Linked DNA regions of Drosophila melanogaster. The protein of the gene in region 4 interacts with the protein of the main gene of each other region in a pairwise test. Each region holds a gene or a part of one and is shown on either strand. Other genes may lie near its edges.

Evidence for each region.
Region 1: the proteins of CG17147 (region 4) and CG7272 interact in a two-hybrid assay, tested with the Drosophila melanogaster proteins (one large-scale study listed by BioGRID).
Region 2: the proteins of CG17147 (region 4) and NaPi-T interact in a two-hybrid assay, tested with the Drosophila melanogaster proteins (one large-scale study listed by BioGRID).
Region 3: the proteins of CG17147 (region 4) and CG14757 interact in a two-hybrid assay, tested with the Drosophila melanogaster proteins (one large-scale study listed by BioGRID).

Annotation. Positions count from the first base shown.
Region 1 is NT_037436.4:15,498,867-15,504,348, forward strand, and holds CG7272 (uncharacterized protein), read left to right. Parts: upstream 1-2,071; 5' UTR 2,072-2,224; coding exon 2,225-2,394; intron 2,395-3,970; coding exon 3,971-4,376; intron 4,377-4,441; coding exon 4,442-4,552; 3' UTR 4,553-4,903; downstream 4,904-5,482. Other genes in the region: CG7275 (uncharacterized protein), read left to right, coding at 194-263, 316-1,030, 1,087-1,642; CG7857 (uncharacterized protein), read right to left, coding at 4,948-5,291, 5,353-5,482.
Region 2 is NT_033778.4:14,841,963-14,847,421, forward strand, and holds NaPi-T (Na[+]-dependent inorganic phosphate cotransporter), read right to left. Parts: upstream 3,913-5,459; 5' UTR 3,476-3,912; coding exon 3,466-3,475; intron 3,335-3,465; coding exon 3,120-3,334; intron 3,004-3,119; coding exon 2,758-3,003; intron 2,704-2,757; coding exon 2,251-2,703; intron 2,192-2,250; coding exon 2,059-2,191; intron 1,988-2,058; coding exon 1,746-1,987; intron 1,682-1,745; coding exon 1,406-1,681; 3' UTR 758-1,405; downstream 1-757. Other genes in the region: CG10209 (uncharacterized protein), read right to left, coding at 4,456-5,459.
Region 3 is NT_033778.4:8,171,864-8,175,384, forward strand, and holds CG14757 (uncharacterized protein), read right to left. Parts: upstream 1,751-3,521; 5' UTR 1,635-1,750; coding exon 1,617-1,634; intron 1,507-1,616; coding exon 1,310-1,506; intron 909-1,309; coding exon 632-908; 3' UTR 501-631; downstream 1-500. Other genes in the region: Mlh1, read left to right, coding at 1-481; LRP1 (LDL receptor protein 1), read left to right, coding at 2,794-2,968.
Region 4 is NT_037436.4:20,222,184-20,226,082, forward strand, and holds CG17147 (uncharacterized protein), read left to right. Parts: upstream 1-1,748; 5' UTR 1,749-1,839; coding exon 1,840-1,846; intron 1,847-2,103; coding exon 2,104-3,110; 3' UTR 3,111-3,141; downstream 3,142-3,899. Other genes in the region: CG17145 (uncharacterized protein), read left to right, coding at 1-734.

The DNA.
Region 1 (5,482 bases), 4.7 Mb from region 4:
AATTCCCTCCAAAATTTCAAATTTCAGTGTTACCCTATTGGTTTTGCATTAGTGTTACCACACCCACTACTCAACACAATCAGCTGACAGCCGCTCTGTATGGCAACACTGTAGCACGCACATGTTGTTTATGTTCGAAACTCACGATTAATTTTATTTTACGCCGCAGAAAAGCTTAATAAATGCAATCAGGATGAAGGTGAAAATGATTAGTCGCAATCCGGATAACTATGTCCGAGAAACCAAACTGCAACAGCACAAAAGTAAGTTCATATACGAAGAAAGACCAAAGTATTATAAGAATGCCACTTTCAGTGCCCAGGAACTACGATCCTTCGCTGCATCCTTTGGAGGGTCCCAGGGAATACGTGCGTGCCCTGAATGCCACCAAGTTGGATCGAGTATTTGCCAAACCCTTCGTCTGCAATTTGAGCGGGCATCGCGATGGAGTCTCCTGCTTCGGAAAGCATCCCAAGCAACTTTCCACCTTGGCCACCGGCGCCTATGACGGCGAAGTGCGCATTTGGGACTTGGCGAATCGTATCAGCTCTCGGAACTTTGTGGCCCACGACGGTTTCGTTCGCGGCATTGCTTACACCCAGAACGGAGGTCGCATTTTCACCGTGGGAGATGATAAAACCATCAAGGTTTGGAAAGCAGAGGCTCCGGAAGTCGGCGAGGATGAGGTGCCGGTGAACACTATACTGAGTAAATTTGGACTGCACGGCATCTCGCACAATCGCAGGGATAACAAGTTCGCCACCTGTGGCGAGGTATGCGCCATTTGGGACGAAAGGCACAACGATCCTTTGAAGACATTGAAGTGGGGCGTCGATACCCTTCACACCATATCCTATAACCCCGTGGAAACAAGCATCCTGGCGTGCTGTGCCAGCGATCGCAGCATTATCCTGTACGATCAGAGAGAGGCGCAGCCACTAAGGAAGGTCGTCCTAACCATGAAGAGCAACAAGCTCGCGTGGAATCCCATGGAGGCGTTCAACTTCACAGTGGCCAACGAGGATTGCAAGTGAGTAAAACGGCCATACGAAGAGGATGTGTTGCTAAAATCTTTATTTCTTACAGCCTTTATACCTTTGACACTCGCAAGCTGCAAACGCCGCTGAAGGTTCACTTTGACCATGTTTCCGCTGTCACCGATGTTGACTACTCGCCCACTGGCAAGGAATTCGTCTCGGCCAGCTACGACAAGACCATTCGGATCTACAATGCCCACCACAGTCACTCGCGGGATATTTACCACACAAAACGCATGCAGCATGTGGTCTGCGTGGCCTGGTCCCTCGATAATCGATACGTTTTCTCCGGCTCCGACGAAATGAACGTCCGCATGTGGAAGGCGAATGCCTCCGAAAAGCTGGGCGTCATCCGTCCACGTGAGCGCGTCAATTTCAATTACCAGGAGGCGCTGAAGCAAAAGTATGCCGCTCATCCGCAGATCAAGCGCATCGCGCGCCATCGCCAGGTGCCGCGTCACGTGCTCAATGCACAGAAGAAGATGCGCACGGTCAAGGAGAAGGAGCAGGTCAAGGAGGCCAATGTGCGCAAGCACACCAAGAAGAGCAAGAAGGTGCCCTACGTCAGCGAGAAAAAGAAGCATGTGCTGAAGGAGGAGGTGTGAGGATGATTGCTAACGACTGTAGTTGGATAAGTTTGAATAAAATTGATTTTTGTAAGGAGACTATGTATGTATATATTAAGAAGCCTAATCTCAATTGAGTTTCTCACTTTCTATCATTGTTCTCAAGTGACTTTCAGTTTGGTCAAGTCAAACCGAAGTTATCAGTGAATTTGCTTAGTTTAAACTATTGTTTGGCTTTAATTCAGTGATACTAGAAGAAAGAAGATGTTGATAAGTTCTAAGGAATACTCTCCTGTTGCTCTAGAGAGAAAACTCATTTGCTTTGCCATGCAGCAACGTTTCGCGGAAATTTGAAATTCAATTCGTATCCGATAAGCCCTCGCGGGCGATAACGTTTGGGGAAAATCGGAGAGACGCGTCCATTTCTAGGGGATTCTCGATTATAAAAGGTTGCCAGCCCCACCGTTGGTGCTCAGTATTTGTTCGTTTGTTGTTACGGCAGCCGCCAGTCGGTCGTTAGTTTTTGTTTTCGTTCATTTGTTTATACTCGCGCGGCACTCGGCCCCCCTCCCGTTCCCACATAACCCGTTTGAAAGGCATCAACTGAGAGTCATTGAAATCATGGAGGCACTGGGGGATCTCTTGGCGCCACACAGCGAACTAATCGCCAAGGTAGCCGGCACCATAACTACCCTGCAATTTCTGTCCGGAGTGGTTCTGATGAACGACATCCGCAAGAAGGGTAGCAGCGACGTCTACCCGGTGGGCCCATTTCTCTTCGGAGTGGTGCTGTAAGTAACCTAATTGGGATTCCGTGATGCTCCACTGCATGCGACATCGAAAAAAAAACTAGTGGGCAGGGGGCAGGAAAAGCGAGTGAAAAGAACAAAAGCCAACGCATCTGTGTGGGAATTGATTAAATTTTAGAACTGTCGCCATGACAGCACAGAATCGAGTCTCTTCAAGGCCGCCAGTGAATCGGTTTTGCACACAATTCAAGAAGATAACAATGGAATCGATTACATCACTGCGTTGGCCAAATGGGAATTACACTTCGATCATCCGCGACCGTTACATTTCGAAATCGTTAACCTTGTCGAAAATCCGCCAGCAGCACTTTTGCCGCCTTATCGATGCGAGAACCCTCCAAACACGTAGCTCTTATCTAGAGTGTATAATTTTAGAGCTCCTCTATTACGAATGCTGATCCGGTAGAGTCTGTCCAAATCTGGGAGAGCCGCTAATCGTTTATACGACGGGCGAAAGATACGCGACTCGCCCTCTCCACGTGCTCGGCATAAAGCGGGGCTGCCCAGATTCCAAAGGGGGTGGGCCACCCAGTGGTGGTGATGGGAATATCTTGTCATCTATAAATATAATCTTCTCTAATTATAGCCGTAAGGCTTGTCCATTACTGCATATGAATAATAGTGTTTGCTTAGCAAAACATAATATTTTTTTAACTATAGTTTCCGTAATAATACATTTCTTTAAACAATTCCAAATTCCTGCTGGCTAAAGCACTAAATGTAGATGAACTCTCGAGGAATTTACCTTTTTATTTTTAAATCGTAAACTTTCCACTGTTTGTTTTGAACATCTCAAAAGATCATAAAGTGCCATATGGCAGCAAGTGAATGAGTACCATCAAGTGAGTGTGCCATCACTGCGCCGGGGCTTACTTGGGGGTGGTTTTCCGGAAGGTGTTAACTTGGACTGTGTCAAGTGTAAGGACCCGCAGACATGCAAGCGAAGCAACAGTTGTATGCTAAACGAATTCCACTCCACCCAATGGGCGCTCGAGGTCTCGGTCAAGGGCAGGTTCCTCGGCCAGTTTGCATTTCATTTCGCCCAGCCCGGGTGTATTTCACCATTGTTGTGGGTTTGTTTATAGGTTGATCGATGATAATGCTGATTATTTGTTGAGCGTTGAGCTCCTTATCAAATGCTACGTGTACCATGATTTGCACGCCGGCCCTATTATGCTTATTTATCTATCTCCACCTAGTATAGAATCTGATAACGCAATTAATAAGTGTAAACTGGTTTTTTTTTTCAATGAAGTGGTAGACTGGAGCACTTTAAATGAAAACTAGTTCCATTTCTCTTGATTCGAACTTTCTGTAGCGACTTACTGCTGGAAAACTGGTTCGGGCAGGGTCAATTAATTTGAATTAATTATAATATCCTCAGAAAACTATGCTCTTATCTACAAGTTAACTGGAATTTATAAAATTTCCAGCCTTATATTGAAGAATATTTTAAAATGAATATGAATGGTAACAGTATTACATTTTTGTTTAAATATAAAAACCAAATTTTGTCCTAAATTAAAGTAACTAATTAACAAATTGTTGAACTTTCTAGGACCGTTCTCAGCTTGAAGCTGGCCAACATTATGAATGATGCTGCCATGATCAATACGAATTTAATCGGCCTGGTGATAAACTTCGTCTTCCTCTTCGGATTTTACTACTACGCCTCGAGCGCCAGCAGGAGCAAGATCTGGAAGCAGATTGGCTATTCCTCGGTGTTCCTATTGGCCATCACCGCGTATGCCAACTTCGAGGATCCCGCCAAGATTGAGTTCCGCCTGGGAATGCTGATCACCGGCATCCTGGTTTGGATGGTGGGCTCTCCCCTGCTGCATCTGCCGAAAATCATTGAGAAGAAGAGCACCGAGGGAATGCCGTTCCCGATTATCTTTGCCGGTAATCTGGTGGCATTTTCCTGGACGCTGTATGCCATCTCCATCAAGAATACTGTGATGGTGGTAAGTTAGCAATTAATTCTATTAAACGAGAATGTAAATTTGAACCGAAAATTCTTCTATTTCAGCTGCAGAACCTTTTGCTGCTGGTCCTGGGCGGCATTCAGCTCTCCATGTTCGCTATTTATCCCAACAAACCGGCTGCCGAGAAGCCCAAGGACAGCAAGAAGGACAAATAATTGAAATCGAACGCTTTACCTAGAAAAAAGGACAAATAATGGGTTGTTGCAACAACATTACCAAGTAATAAGTAGCTAGGCTTTGAGGAATAATCAAATTATTGCTTGAATTTACACTAAACCGCCACAAGAAAACTAAATTTGAGCTAAACGAATTATTTTTCTATATAGGAAATATTTTCTTAGAACAAATCCAGCTAACTAAGTTGCTAGCTAACCTAGAATTGTTATTATATTGACTATTATTGTATATAACTACTACATACTTGCAATTTTTGACAATAATTCAAATCTTCCAAATGCATACGTATTTATAAAGTCAACATAATATGTAATAAAACAATCTGTTACAAAATCGAGTGAGTTGATGGTAAATGCCATTGGGCATTTCCCGTTTAGGCTGCTGGCACCGTGGAATTGTAGTGGGCACCCAATTGGTATATGTGGCGGTGGTAGCAGATGATCAGCGGTGATCCACCGAATTCCTCTTGCCCCAGGAGCGTCGGTGCTCCTTCCGCTTGGATAACTTCAATGGGCACCCGGAGTAGCGATGAGATGGCCTTCAGTTCTATGTGGCCACCCCAAGCGTGAGTTTTTGCTATGTCGTGGCAGTATTGTTCGAATTGTTGGTCGTTCAGAATGTCTCCTGTTTCCGGGTGGATCATGTATGAGATAAGCGAGTCCTTGTGAGCACGCACATAATTGGCAGTTTCCTCCCGCAACTCCTGAACACTGTGACCTTTGGTGCAATTATTATGGATTAGTTTTGGTGCTGTGTGGACTGAATCGTGAAGCATTACCTGGAAGAGCATTTACGATAAGTTGGTGTCTGATGGACTGATATAAGCAGTCGCCATCGGAGGGTATATTGTGAAGGGATAATTGGCGTTGGGATAGCTTTGCTGTAATCTGCTGCAGTTCGATTAACTT
Region 2 (5,459 bases), on a different chromosome or scaffold from region 4:
ACCCGAAATGGACAAGCCGTGAAGTGGCCAGGATGATGGCAGGGATTTGTGCGAGGGGGTTGAAAGGACCCGAGATGGAGACGGGCACTGACATCTACGACTCCCTGGAGTGCAATCGGAAATGGACGCCAATGAAACAAATGCAGGCACGTAAAAAAGTCGAAGACCACGGAGCAGCAAAGGTTGGCCTGCCCCTTAGCCCCTCGCCAGCCATCCTTTTCTCAATTCAATTCCCATCTCCTTCCGAACTTCCAATTGTGCAACGCGTGGTATGAGTAATGAGAGAGAAACGGCAGCCCAAAAAGGGAAAACGATTTTCCGGTTCAATCAGTTTTGATTTAAATTGCAATTATTAACTTCGGTTTGGCAAATCATTTATTTTGCTGTAATATGGGGTTCTCATTACGTCGTTGGGTTAATAAAATATCCCAAGATTGCTATCAAGTTTGAAAAATTAAGAACGCCATACAAATTTAATTCTGTAAAATAAAATAGTATAACAATTGTCGTTCAACTTTTGTGAACTTAATTTAGAAGGAAGTCTTTCCGCTCTCGGTTATAAATTAAGAAAAAATGTGTATATAGTTTATGGCAGTGTTATTTAGTTGTAAAATCGTTTTACTGCCTCGTTGACGTAGATATCTGATATCTGAGTCCGTGAAAAAACTAATAATAGTACCTTAAGCCCCGTAAATATAGCTTAAAAGAAAAGCTAATACTTTGTAGACTGTGATTAAATACATAACATAATTTAATTCAAAATTTTAAATTCTTTAATTAGCTTAATTTTGGATGTTAATATTTTCTTAGGGAGTAGTATTAATACGAAAATTAAAGAATACATAGCAATGTCTAAAAATAAAGCGAATTATAATGTTTTACGTTAAAGAAAAGTACTCGCGTGGCGTCACACTCAAATATTTAATTAACATTATTTTTAATAACTGCAAATAAATATGCTGAGATATTAAAAAATCCCTTTTGACCTTCTGAAAAAAATTATCTTAGTCGGGATTAGTTGAATCACCTGGCTTAAGCAAAAACTTTCCCAGACAGCAGCAAAGCATTTTTAGCTTCCGTAAACATAAAACATTTTATTTGATTAACGCCATGCCGACATGAAGTGACTTTTACGCCGAAAGTGTTGTTTAAATAATAAACAAAAGCTGGTAATAAATCATATACATTTGTATTTATATGTATAAGAAGGTAATCTTGGGGGAGAACAGGGAACTAATCCTATGGTATAGTTAGCAACTCACTTAAATATAGAGGTTAAAGATGCTAAACTCAGTGGATTCACGGGTAGTTATTTACACAAAATGACGATAAGCCTTATCAGACGTTGTTCGTTGCCATAATCTACACGATATTATGACAATTAAACAGAGTGCGACCACACATGTCACTTTTCATCGCAATCAGATTTTGTTTTGGTCTCCTGTTCAGCGACTATAGGGGTTTCCTTATCATGGTCAGATTTAAGAGGCTTCTTCTCCTCCTCATCGTCCTGATCGCGTCCCAGATTCTGAAGTTCCTTTAGCCCGGAATCAGGCAACTGGTGACAGCCACTGTTCCATGGCTGCAATTTGGATTCCGAGAAAAGCACATACAAGATGCCACTGCCTGTTAACATCAACGAGGTGAGCAGGAACACATTCTTCCAGGCATCAATGGTTTGCTTTAAAAAGGGATTATTATACATGGAATAAATAACTCCTTTCAAAGGCAAAAATACAACTTACATTATTGTGAGTAAGTTGGCCCACGATGAAGGGCGATATGAAGCCCGGCATTCCACCAATCATTCCACTCACGCCCAGGACAATGCCCGCATAGTTTGGCGACAGATCGACCATGGAGGCCAAGGGACCCGAGGACACGGCGCCGTGAAGCATGGTGGCCACTGTGACCAACACGATGGCAGCCGTCGCGTTGTAGCCAAAGTAAGCTAGTGCTAATACGATTAAGCCTTTAGTGCCACAGCCTAGAACAAAAAAGAGTTTAAATGCTATTAAGGCTGTACAAAATATCTAAACAATCAGAAGTAATACTCACAAATGAATGTGGCCAACTTGCGGACATTTGTGCGACTCATCTTATCCGTGCGCAGAAGATAGTCGGCGAATATGGAGAAGACGTAGGCGAAGAGCATTCTCATAAGATGCGGCAGTCCGGACAGGAAGCCAGTCTGAAAAGGAGCAGGCAATGTGTAATACTCTTGACCTACAAAATCTATTAAACACTTACCGCTCGAATGTTCCAGTGGTGAATCAGTCTGAAGTAAGTCGGCGCATGGGTCATCAAAGTGAAGAGACCCCAGATGCCACCCCATTGGGCGACCACATTCAGCCAAACGGGACGAGAGGTGGCAATCGCCTTCCAGGGTGTGGGTCCCTTGCTGCCCTGAATGGAGGCACCCAAGGACTTCTCGATGAACTTTCTCTCCGAGTCAGCGATGCGGGGATGCTCAGCGGGACTATCGAACACAAGGAACTGCCAGGCGATGAACCAGAGAGTGCCCACGATTCCGCAGATATAGTAGACCCACTCCCACCGTGTCCAATCGATGATGTAGCCGAAGATCGGATAGAACAGGGCCACGCCCACAGAACTGCCCAAGTAAGCACTGACAAACTTGCTGCGCTCGTTGGGCGGAATCCATTTGGCAGTGAGCACGTGCATCGATGGCCAGGCCAAGCCCTTTAAAATTAAAGATTTAAACTTTCCATCAAAATCTGCTCAACGATCCCTTACCGTTATCCACCCCTGGAATACTCGCAGGATAATCAAGCCCGTGTAGCTCCAGTACGATACGATTGGTATAAGGAAACAGCAGAACACACCGATGCCATTGGACCAACCAAACACCAGTTTAGTACCATATTTGGTGGCCAAGATGCCGCCGGGAATCTGCAGTGTCCAGTGGGCCCAGAAAAATGATCCCAACAGAGCGCCCTGCTGCTTCTCGTTCCAGTGAAATCCATTCTTTTCGTACGGAATCTGCCAAAGATATAGTGCACACACACGTTACTCATACGCCCCGTTGTTGCACAAGCTCCGTCACTTTGTGGCTTTCATTAAGCACTTAACCAGTGATTCAGCGATCTGATACTCACATTCGCCCAGTCCAAAAACCAACGCTCCAGCGAAAATCGTTCATTCATTTCCGCAAGGGCAGCCAAGTCCGTAGAGTTCTCGTGGGTTTCATTTGAGGTAATAGCACCCTTCCCGGCAATCATGTCCACAATGGTAATGTTCAGATTGATCCGGATCATGTAGTTCACGATGAAACCGATGAATGTCATGTACCACAGCACAGTGCGCGCCTCGACTAAAAAGATCAAAGTAGAGTACATGAAATGCGAGCTCCCAACTTGTGGTTGTTCTTCATTTGGAGGTCTTAAACAAGATCTTCGACTTCGAGTTTCGAGGTAAGACACGAATTTCAGATCATTCTCGTACCTTGGCCCATGGTGAATGGATTGACTGGTTGAGAACTTCACTGGAAATTTGAACTCTGCATCTGCAGGAGCTGCCGCCAATCCCTGTGATTCGATCGCTGACGATCAACTGCTGCTGGCAGCTGCCGGAAAAGAATGCCAGACCCAGTCTGCCTCCAGTCGATCCGCCTGTATCTGTATCTGTATCTCTTTATCCCAGCCGGACGCCACTGATAAGCGCCGCAGATCTGGCGGACTATGCTGCAGCTCGGCTCGTGATCGCTCATCAACCTGCCCAACATGCGACAGACAACGACGAGTTCGGCGATCGGCAGCGCTCAGTTGAAATTCGCACTTAGGCAGACCGGATCAGTCAGCTGTTTGACTATCTTTATGATATGGCGTGCTCCCTGTGGGTTTCGTTATCGCGTTACGAGAGATGAAGACTAGATATTCCTGAAGACAGCTTAACGACGGACCGCTTGCCGGATTTACAGCTTTTCAAAGTCCAAACAAACAAGATTGTGGATTCCACCTCAGAGCTAAGCCAATGACTTCTCCGATTTGGCCAGAAAAACAAAAACCTGGGAATAGGGAGCTCTTGCCAGAAGTTGGGGATCAATCATTTTACTTGAACTAAAAAACATCCACAGTTTTTAAGATTCAATTATATTTGTATTTACACCGAAAAAATGTATGCGTCGCGATCTATTGAGAACTTGAGTCACAGTTGAGCTACGCTGTTATTGCCACGGGAACATTTACATGAGGATCACGGCATCCACTTACTACAAAATGGCATACATCAGGAGTATCTTCCTCATTGACTGCACCATTTTTGACTGTAGTAGTGTAGTGAGCAATGTGTACTTAGGTATAGGCTAGCATAAGAATGAGACCTACGAATTGCCGTCTAAATCGAGGGCTAACAGCTGTGCGCGTCTGCCGTCGTGGGGGACACCGTCGCAGGGCGTGGTGCTCCACAAGTGGCTTCCCACAGACGGCTCAGGACTCATCCGACATTTTCGTAGGACATTGGAGGCCGTTCGCTGGCGGTCGATCCGAAGATCGTTGGCGGATGGTGTTGCTGTCCCTGTTGCTGCTGCTGGTGGGGATGCTGTTGCTGTTGCTGGTGGGGATTGTGGCCATGCTGGTGTTGCTGTGCGGTCGGCTGCTCGTTGCGAAGCTGTCCCAGCGGAAACATGATGTTGTGGGCCATCTGGGGGTGGTGCAGGTGCTCATTGGGTGGCGGTGGAGGCGGTTGCTGGTGGGCAGCATGAAGGGCCTGAGCGGCCTCCACATGCTTGCGTTGCTCGCTTTGCTGTTGCTGTTGCTGCTGATGAACCTTCTCCACGCTGTTCTCCTCGTACTTCTTCTGAAGTTGGAAAAGAGGCAGCTGCTGGGAGGTATGAATGGGCACAGCAACTGCGCCTGCAGATGCTACTCGCTCTACCTGTGATTGAGGCGATGGTTCACGCTCGCCCTTTTCGTATTTCTTTTGCAACTGGTACATGCTGTGGGACAAGTGAGTAGTCACCGTGCTACTGCCACTGCTGCTAGAGCTGAGTTTTGAGGAGGTTGACGTAGAGGAGGGCGCGGGCTTCTCCGCTTTGACAGGCGACTTCTTCTGATACTTCTTCAGTATCTGCATTAGTTCGGACTTTACATCAAGGCGTATCTCCTCCGGAACTCTCTTGATCTCTTCGTACAGGGATAAGAGGAACAGCTTGTCGGGATCCCGGTTCTTGCGCTTCTTGCTCTTTTTTGGAAATGCATCCTGCATGAACTGCAGAAGCTTCTCCTCAAATGGCGACTCTCTGGATAGTGATCCACTTCCATGCTGGCGCCTCAACAGGTGTGGATGCAAGCCACCGTGAAAAGCAGGGTGCTGGAGCATTCCGGAGTGGGATTGACCACCGCCGCTATGCTCGCCTCCTCCACCGCTGCCATTGTGCGCCTGCAACTGGGATACTGGGTGTCCCTGATATGAGCCACCATTGCTTGATCCAGGAGCAT
Region 3 (3,521 bases), on a different chromosome or scaffold from region 4:
TCTCAAGGAGCTGCTAATCTTGTCGCTGGAAAGCGAAGCCGCCGGCTGGACGCCCGAAGACGGGGATAAGGCTGAGCTGGCGGACGGTGCTGCGGACATTCTTCTGAAAAAGGCGCCCATCATGAGAGAGTATTTCGGGCTGCGCATCTCGGAGGATGGAATGCTCGAATCTCTGCCCAGTTTGCTGCACCAGCATCGACCTTGTGTGGCCCACCTGCCTGTTTACCTGCTCCGCTTGGCCACCGAAGTGGACTGGGAGCAGGAGACACGATGCTTCGAGACATTCTGTAGGGAAACTGCTCGATTTTACGCGCAATTGGATTGGCGGGAAGGTGCGACTGCGGGCTTTTCCAGATGGACAATGGAACACGTTCTATTTCCTGCCTTTAAAAAATATCTTCTGCCACCACCACGCATCAAGGATCAGATCTACGAGCTCACTAACCTGCCCACTCTGTACAAGGTGTTCGAGCGGTGCTAGTTTAGGTTGTTCACTTCCAGAACTTTAAATATTGATTATATTTGGTATTCTAAACATACATATTTGCGCTTTGGTTATTGTGGTAAGGATATGATCTCCTGGATCATATAAACTTCTAACTAATCATATTCATAAGCACCAGGTGCATGCCTAAATATTCAGATCCGGCTGGCGGAGTCGCGTGACCCGTTCGGCGTTCTTGACGTGCTCCTTCAACAGCCCCATGATCTCCGTGTCGTACTCCTTGGGCGTGGGCTTCACCTCGGTGGCCCAGTAATAGATATCCCAGTCGTTGCTGACCCCGTTGATCAACTGGTCGTACTGCGCCGTCTGCTCGGCGCTGAAGTTCTGGAGATGCTTGGCCGCAAAGGTGCTCAGCAGAAGATCGTTCTCCAGCATTCCGCGCTTGCGCGATTGGTACAAAAGCCTGGAGGTGAAGTGTTTTTCTGGTTAATATTAAAAAATACTTATGGAAAGAATAGCTTAGTTGGTTGTACAACTGATGCAAAATTAAGAAGTGCGATCGATGATGAAGAAAAAAGAAACTTGGAGTTTAAATCCTATTTTTCTGTTCTACATTTTAAAATTAAAATAGTATAAATTTTTCTAAATAGAGGTTGTCATGCTTTCTTAAAAAAAAGTAGAGTTCATAAATGGAAGTGTTTAAGGCAATGGTGGATGAGAGCAAAGGGAAAATATATATATTAAATATGAGCTCTTTTAATTAATGATTTTCCTTATAAGTAAAGTAAGTATAGTAAAGTATAGAATAAAGTAAAGTATAGTTATAGTAGTAGTTATTAATTAATAGTTAATAATTTTACCCACCGTTGCTTGCGAGTTTCCAACGGCTCGTTTGGACGCACCGGATACTCCGGCAGTGGAAGATAATCCGGGTCCTCGTAGTCCACAATCACGTCGTTGAAAGTGCTGGCCAGTGGTGGTGGCGGTGGAGGAGAGTCCTTCATGTTGGACATGGAGCGTCTCCACGGGAGGAAGATCCAACCCGAAATATCCATTGTCAACTGGGCGTTACGAAAATAAAAATAGAAAATGTACATATGTAGAAAAACTGCATAAATTGCATTCAATTGCAGTCTTATGCAACCGGTTCGGGTACATTTCCAGGGCTTACCCGTAGTTGGCGCAGCATTCTGGGTACAGACAATTATGGAATTCTTAAAAATTTTTCTGTTCGGTGGGTATTTTTGGATTTGTATTGAGCTATCGGAAAATTTGAAAAATCAAAATATTTTGACAACTGCCGGCCGTTCGATTTGTGACTAAAAAACGAAAAGTGCGTTCTCTGTCTAACAGAGCTTTTTTTATTAAGGGCCTTCCTCTGTTTTATTTTTAATTAGCACTTGTTGATATTTATGGCATCGCCAGACGGCCATGCCCTCGCCGCCCATCCAGAGATCCGGGAATCATTGATAATAGTATTAAAAAGAGTTATAAAATAATTATTACAGTAAGCATCACAGTAATGTTGTGTGTTGTTTTGTGTGTGGTGTTTTTACCATCGACAACGTCGATTACGTAGAACTGGATTATACATGTTTTTGGAACAAATATCCCCATTAAAAGTAATGAGGTGATTATAAATCAAATTAATTTGAAATTAGCGCCTTACAATTTCTGTGTGGCCAATTAACAGCACTGTTAAATTTCTTCATCACACAAACATCGACGGTGTGACCGGAGTCGCGGCTGTAAAAAATACTGTTCAATAGCTGCGCGTAGTATTTAACCGGTTGGAGCGCTTCAATCGGTAAACGCAGTTGAAGGTGTTCGGTCGCTTCGCGCAAATCTCGCAGAGCAGAGATCGAAATATAATAGAATCGAGCGGTCGTGCGTGCTGCTGAAGTCGAAGAAAAAATTACGGGAAATCACGCCGCTTCGGTGAAAACAGCCGGCAAAATATAATGAGTTAATATTTGTTTTTTTCCGTTGTGTTTGGCGGATAAGAAAATCGCGGCATGAGGGATGCTGAAGTGATTGAGTGCGGTGTACTAATGTGCAGCGAATTCTGAGCGCGTAAAGCGTTTCGAAAAATTAAACAAACAAAATGCATGTTTCAATGGAAATCTAAGTAAAAAAAAGTTACCTGTTTGTGATTTGCTTGCCACCCCCGGTTTACGTGTGTTTGGTGTGAGTTCGAGTTTGTGAGTGTGTGAGTGTTGTGTTATTGTGTAAAAGGAAGGCTGAAACAACACGAAGGAGAGCAAGAAGAAGAACAACAACAAGGAGAGTCGCGCGCGCGTCTGTGTGTGCGTGGTAGCGTGTGTGTGAGGAGAGCGGCCAGCGGCATAATGCCGGCGACAGCGAATTCATGGATCTTGTTGCTGTTGTTGTTGGTCGCCGTGGAAAGATGCAGCAGCAACAGCAGCGGGCGCATCAATAGTCGCAGCAGCAGCAGCGGCTACAGGAAGGTCCAGTGGCAGGAGCAACAGGAGGCCCCCACTCTGCGTCCCCTTCCCGATAAAGGTACGTGTGCTATCTCCGTCTGGCTCATCTCCCTATCTCCCTCTTCCCTCTCGCTCCCCCGCATCTTAATTGTTGTTAATCTGCGGTGCATTAACCTGGCCTAAGTAAACAACTCCTCCCCCGCTTCCCCTCCCATCACACTGGCTGTGCCAAAAATAACAACTGCTCTCTCCGTCTGCCATCCTGTCTCTCTGTCGGTCTCTTTGTCTCTCTGTTTTTGTATGCTGTTAGTTCCCCTTTCTCCATGCCCCCTCCCCCATCAAGCGTCACTTCACTTTGTTATGCAAATTCCTTGGTTTTCTCGCCGCAAAATGCCGCAAAACAAATGAAAATAGAAACAAAAACAAGTGTATGCAAAATATTTTTGTCGCTTTTTTTGCGGTTTCGGTTGGAATTTTCGCGCAACGAGAATTAAATAAAAATATTTGGCCATCATGCAAAGATGCAGATCTCGAGGATAGTCAAAAAAAAAAGTAATTGAGCTTGCATTCTTTCCAAAGAGTTTTCAAGTATAAAAGTTGAAGGACTTATAGAGAAATAAGTCTTGTAAAAA
Region 4 (3,899 bases):
CGGATCGGGCCAAGCAATTCGTGGCCGACCCCAAGTCCTGCTACGGCTACTATTACTGTGCGGACGAGGAGACGGCCTTGTACGGCACCTGTCCGCAGGAGACGCACTTCAATGCCACCACCCAGATGTGCTCCCGCCAACACGAATCGGATTGCACCACCAGCACCTTCGAGTACTGCAGCATTGTTAAGAACGGCGTAAACTTCGACAATCTGCAGGGCTGCAATATGTATCACGTCTGTGAGAAGGGCGTCCTGAAGGACAAGACATGCTCGAAAACCTATTATCAGGCCAGCACGGGCGAGTGTGTGTCCAAGGCTCTGGTGGACTGCGATGCCCATCCGTTGCCCACGGATGTCTGCGGCAAGGCCAGTAAGCCCTACGAGAACAAGTTCGTCGCGGATGAAGCCACCTGTCGCGGCTACTTCTACTGCGCCAAGCAGAAGGATGGCACCCCGGACCCCAATCCGGTGTGGAACCAGTGTCCCCAGGACAGATTCTTCGATGCGAGCAGCCAGATGTGCATAACCCCCAGTTCGGTCTATTGCTCCCACGATCGTTGCGACGGTCGGACTGCTAGTTTTGTCGTTAGTGCCACCAAGGGCTGTCGCAACTATCTGAGCTGCTCCGACGGGGTAACCGTGAGCGAGAGGTCCTGCGGCAACTACTTCTTCGACGACCAGCAGGGCGCCTGCACTCCAAGTGTCCAGACCTACACCGCGTGCAAGACGTAGGCATGTATTTCCAATAAAGCTCAGAATGCAATGTGATATTTGGTTAAGGAAGTGTTGTAATGAAGTGCACTAGTTTGGATTCTTTCGGGGACTGTGGAACCTGGATTGTCATAGATATAGATACGCGGCTCTCTAGCGAGTTCGTGTTTATGCACAATGACAAGTTTCTGCTGTAAGCCAGTATCTTTGCTGTAACTCGAGGATCGTAGTTGAGATATATTGTTTTTTTACCCGTTTTTATAAGAACGTAGATTGTTTTCGTTGCTCTAATGCTTAAGATTAGCTACCAAAAAGAACAATAATCTTAAACAAGTTCTAGTTCGAAATTCGAATAAATAATATCTGATGGGTGAGTGAAGAACACCTGTATTTTGTTTAATATTCCTGGAACAATTCAGCTGAAAACTAGGTAAATGAACAAATAGAATTTTAAGAATTCACTCAATCATGGAAACTTTTCTTGCAGGTGGTAACGATGGAATAGCATGGCCTCACCGAGGAGACCATAAATGATAATCACTGTCCTATTCGTTGGTTACAATCAATGTTTTCAAAAGTTCTGATTTTCCAAACAAAAACCTATCGAAAGCGACAGTGAAATAGCAAGGCAGTATATTTTAAAAGGTTGTCATATTTACGGCACAATAACTGCTGACCGTTTAATCGCATCAGCGATAAATATATTTATAGTTCAATTAATTAACGGCCAACAGAAGGTTCATTTGACTCGTAACTACCGTGGGTATACCTCATTAACTAGTGGCACTTTCCTTTTCGACTGAAGTTGCCAAAATTTACTATGAAAGTGAGTCGTTAAGGAATCTGCAGTCAGCTGTCTCGATTTCAATCGATTTCAATCACCAATTACGACCTACTTGAAGGGTTTTACCTCCTTTCGCACAACATTGATAAGATTTGCTCATAAGAGAGGCAATAAAGCGCTGGTATCAGCAGAAGCAGTGGCAACGATAATGACTCCTAGTTAATATAAGATTCTTCCATTCACGAAACTCCATTTAGTCGCGCGTAATTGGTTCCCGAGGCCACATCAAACCACTCGATCTATTCTGTTGCAAATTAAACCAAAGTTTCCCAGCAATCAGCCATGCTAAGTGAGTTTTATGAACCCATTAATTTACCGTCATAGATATTTACTTATACACCCTGATTCAGCCTTTATTTTTAGTGAAAAGTAACAGCTTGCATGCGTTTTTAAAGATACAATTAAAATGTAGAATCTAGATATTTTGTTCATTCATATTCATTTTTATAGGTATATCTTTAAAGGTTTTTAAGCATATCTATATGTTTTTCAAAAGGTGTGCTGTATCAATCTAATATCTCGCGATCATATGTATATCATTCGTAGACCTCAAACTTGGAGTGCTTCTCGGATGCGTTCTCTTGTTGGCTACCGTAGCTCTTTCGGCGAGTGTCGGTGAATACGAGGAGCTGTGTCGCCTTTTCAAGAACGGGACCAAGGTTCGCAAGCCCGGCACCTGCGACCAGTACATTCAGTGCTACGATGGCAACGGCACCGTCCTGACCTGCCCCTCCAACCAGTCCTTCAATCCCAGCAAGGGTAGTTGCGTGGACACGTTGGCCAACAGCAACAAGTACTGCGGCAATCGCTGCGAGGGATTGGATGGCGAATGGGTGGCCGATCCGACCGAGTGCCACAAGTACTTCTACTGCATGAACGGCGTACCGCTGGCGGGGATGTGTCCCGTAGGCCAGCACTTCGATGAGCGCTCTCAGTCCTGCCTGTACGGCGTGGACTCCATGTGCGTGGATGTGAACAACATTTGCGAGCTGGTGGCGGAAAATACGAAGTTCCGGAATGAGAAGGACTGCGCCTACTACTATGAGTGTGACAAGACCGGTAACCATGCGTCCAAGAGCTGCACTGTCACCTCCAAGAAGCGCGAGTATTTCGATGTGGAGAGCGGCAATTGCGTGGAAGCCAATAAGGTGGAGTGCACCGCCCATTCGAAGGAGAACGTCTGCACCAGCAGCACAACAATGACATTCAAATCCGACCAAGCCACCTGCCGTGGATACTTCGTATGCAAGGCCCTCTATCCCGTCGCCGACCTGGATCCACTGTGGACGCAGTGCCCCGAGGGCTACTTCTTCGACGAGGATCGGCAGCTCTGCGCCAATCCCACCACAGTGGTGTGCACCCACAACAGATGCGACGGACGCGGCACGATGCTGGTGACCAGCAGCAGCAATAACTGTCACAACTACATCCGGTGTGTGGACAACAAGGAGGTGACGGAGGAAACCTGCCACTGGGATCACTTCTTCGACGAGACAGTGGAAGCGTGCTCCTCCAAGATCATCTACGATAAGTGTTGCGATGGCCGGGACTAAACAAAAAATAAATTTAACTAAAAGTGCAAAGAAAAAGAGGTAGTTGATTTTTATTGGCGATCAATATATCCGTTAAAAGCAAAGACACTAGAAAGGTACACAGGTTAAAAGGGTATACTAGATTCGTTGAGAAGTATGTAACAAGCAGAGGGAAGCGTTTTCGACCATATGGAGTATATATTCTTGATCAGGATCAATATTCCACAAACCACCCAAAACTGTCACGACCACACTTTCGAACAATTTTTAAATTATGGTTTGGTTTTTAATTTCTACTAATATTCAAAAATATCGGGGACTTCGACTATAGCATTTTTTTTTGTTTTTATTTTGTTTTCAAAACAATTATATTTACGATTTGGCTTGAAATTTCAGTTTTTTTGGGTACAATACAAACATATACTATGTGCTTTATGAGCAATCCATTAATAGCACACATTTAAAATTCAGGTAATTGCCCGTATGGTACGCATTAAAATTAGACAACACATTTCTAATCTTTCTAAATTTAGAAATCAATTAGTTTTATCGTTCTGTTGATCAGTTACCAAAATGTAGAACAACATCCACATGAAAATACCAAGATTAATAGTACCGTCTTGTTAACTGTTTCTATTTGTTTATCTACAAAACGTAGTTGAGTTAATTTGCAATAAAACGAGAGCTTATGCTCAGGAAAATAAGAACTTTTTTATATGTATGCGTAGGACAATGGGAAGTAAAAAATAAATCCGCAGTTTTTTTTTAGAAAACTCAATTAGTTTTGCGTTTTCCATACGAAGTTGCCGC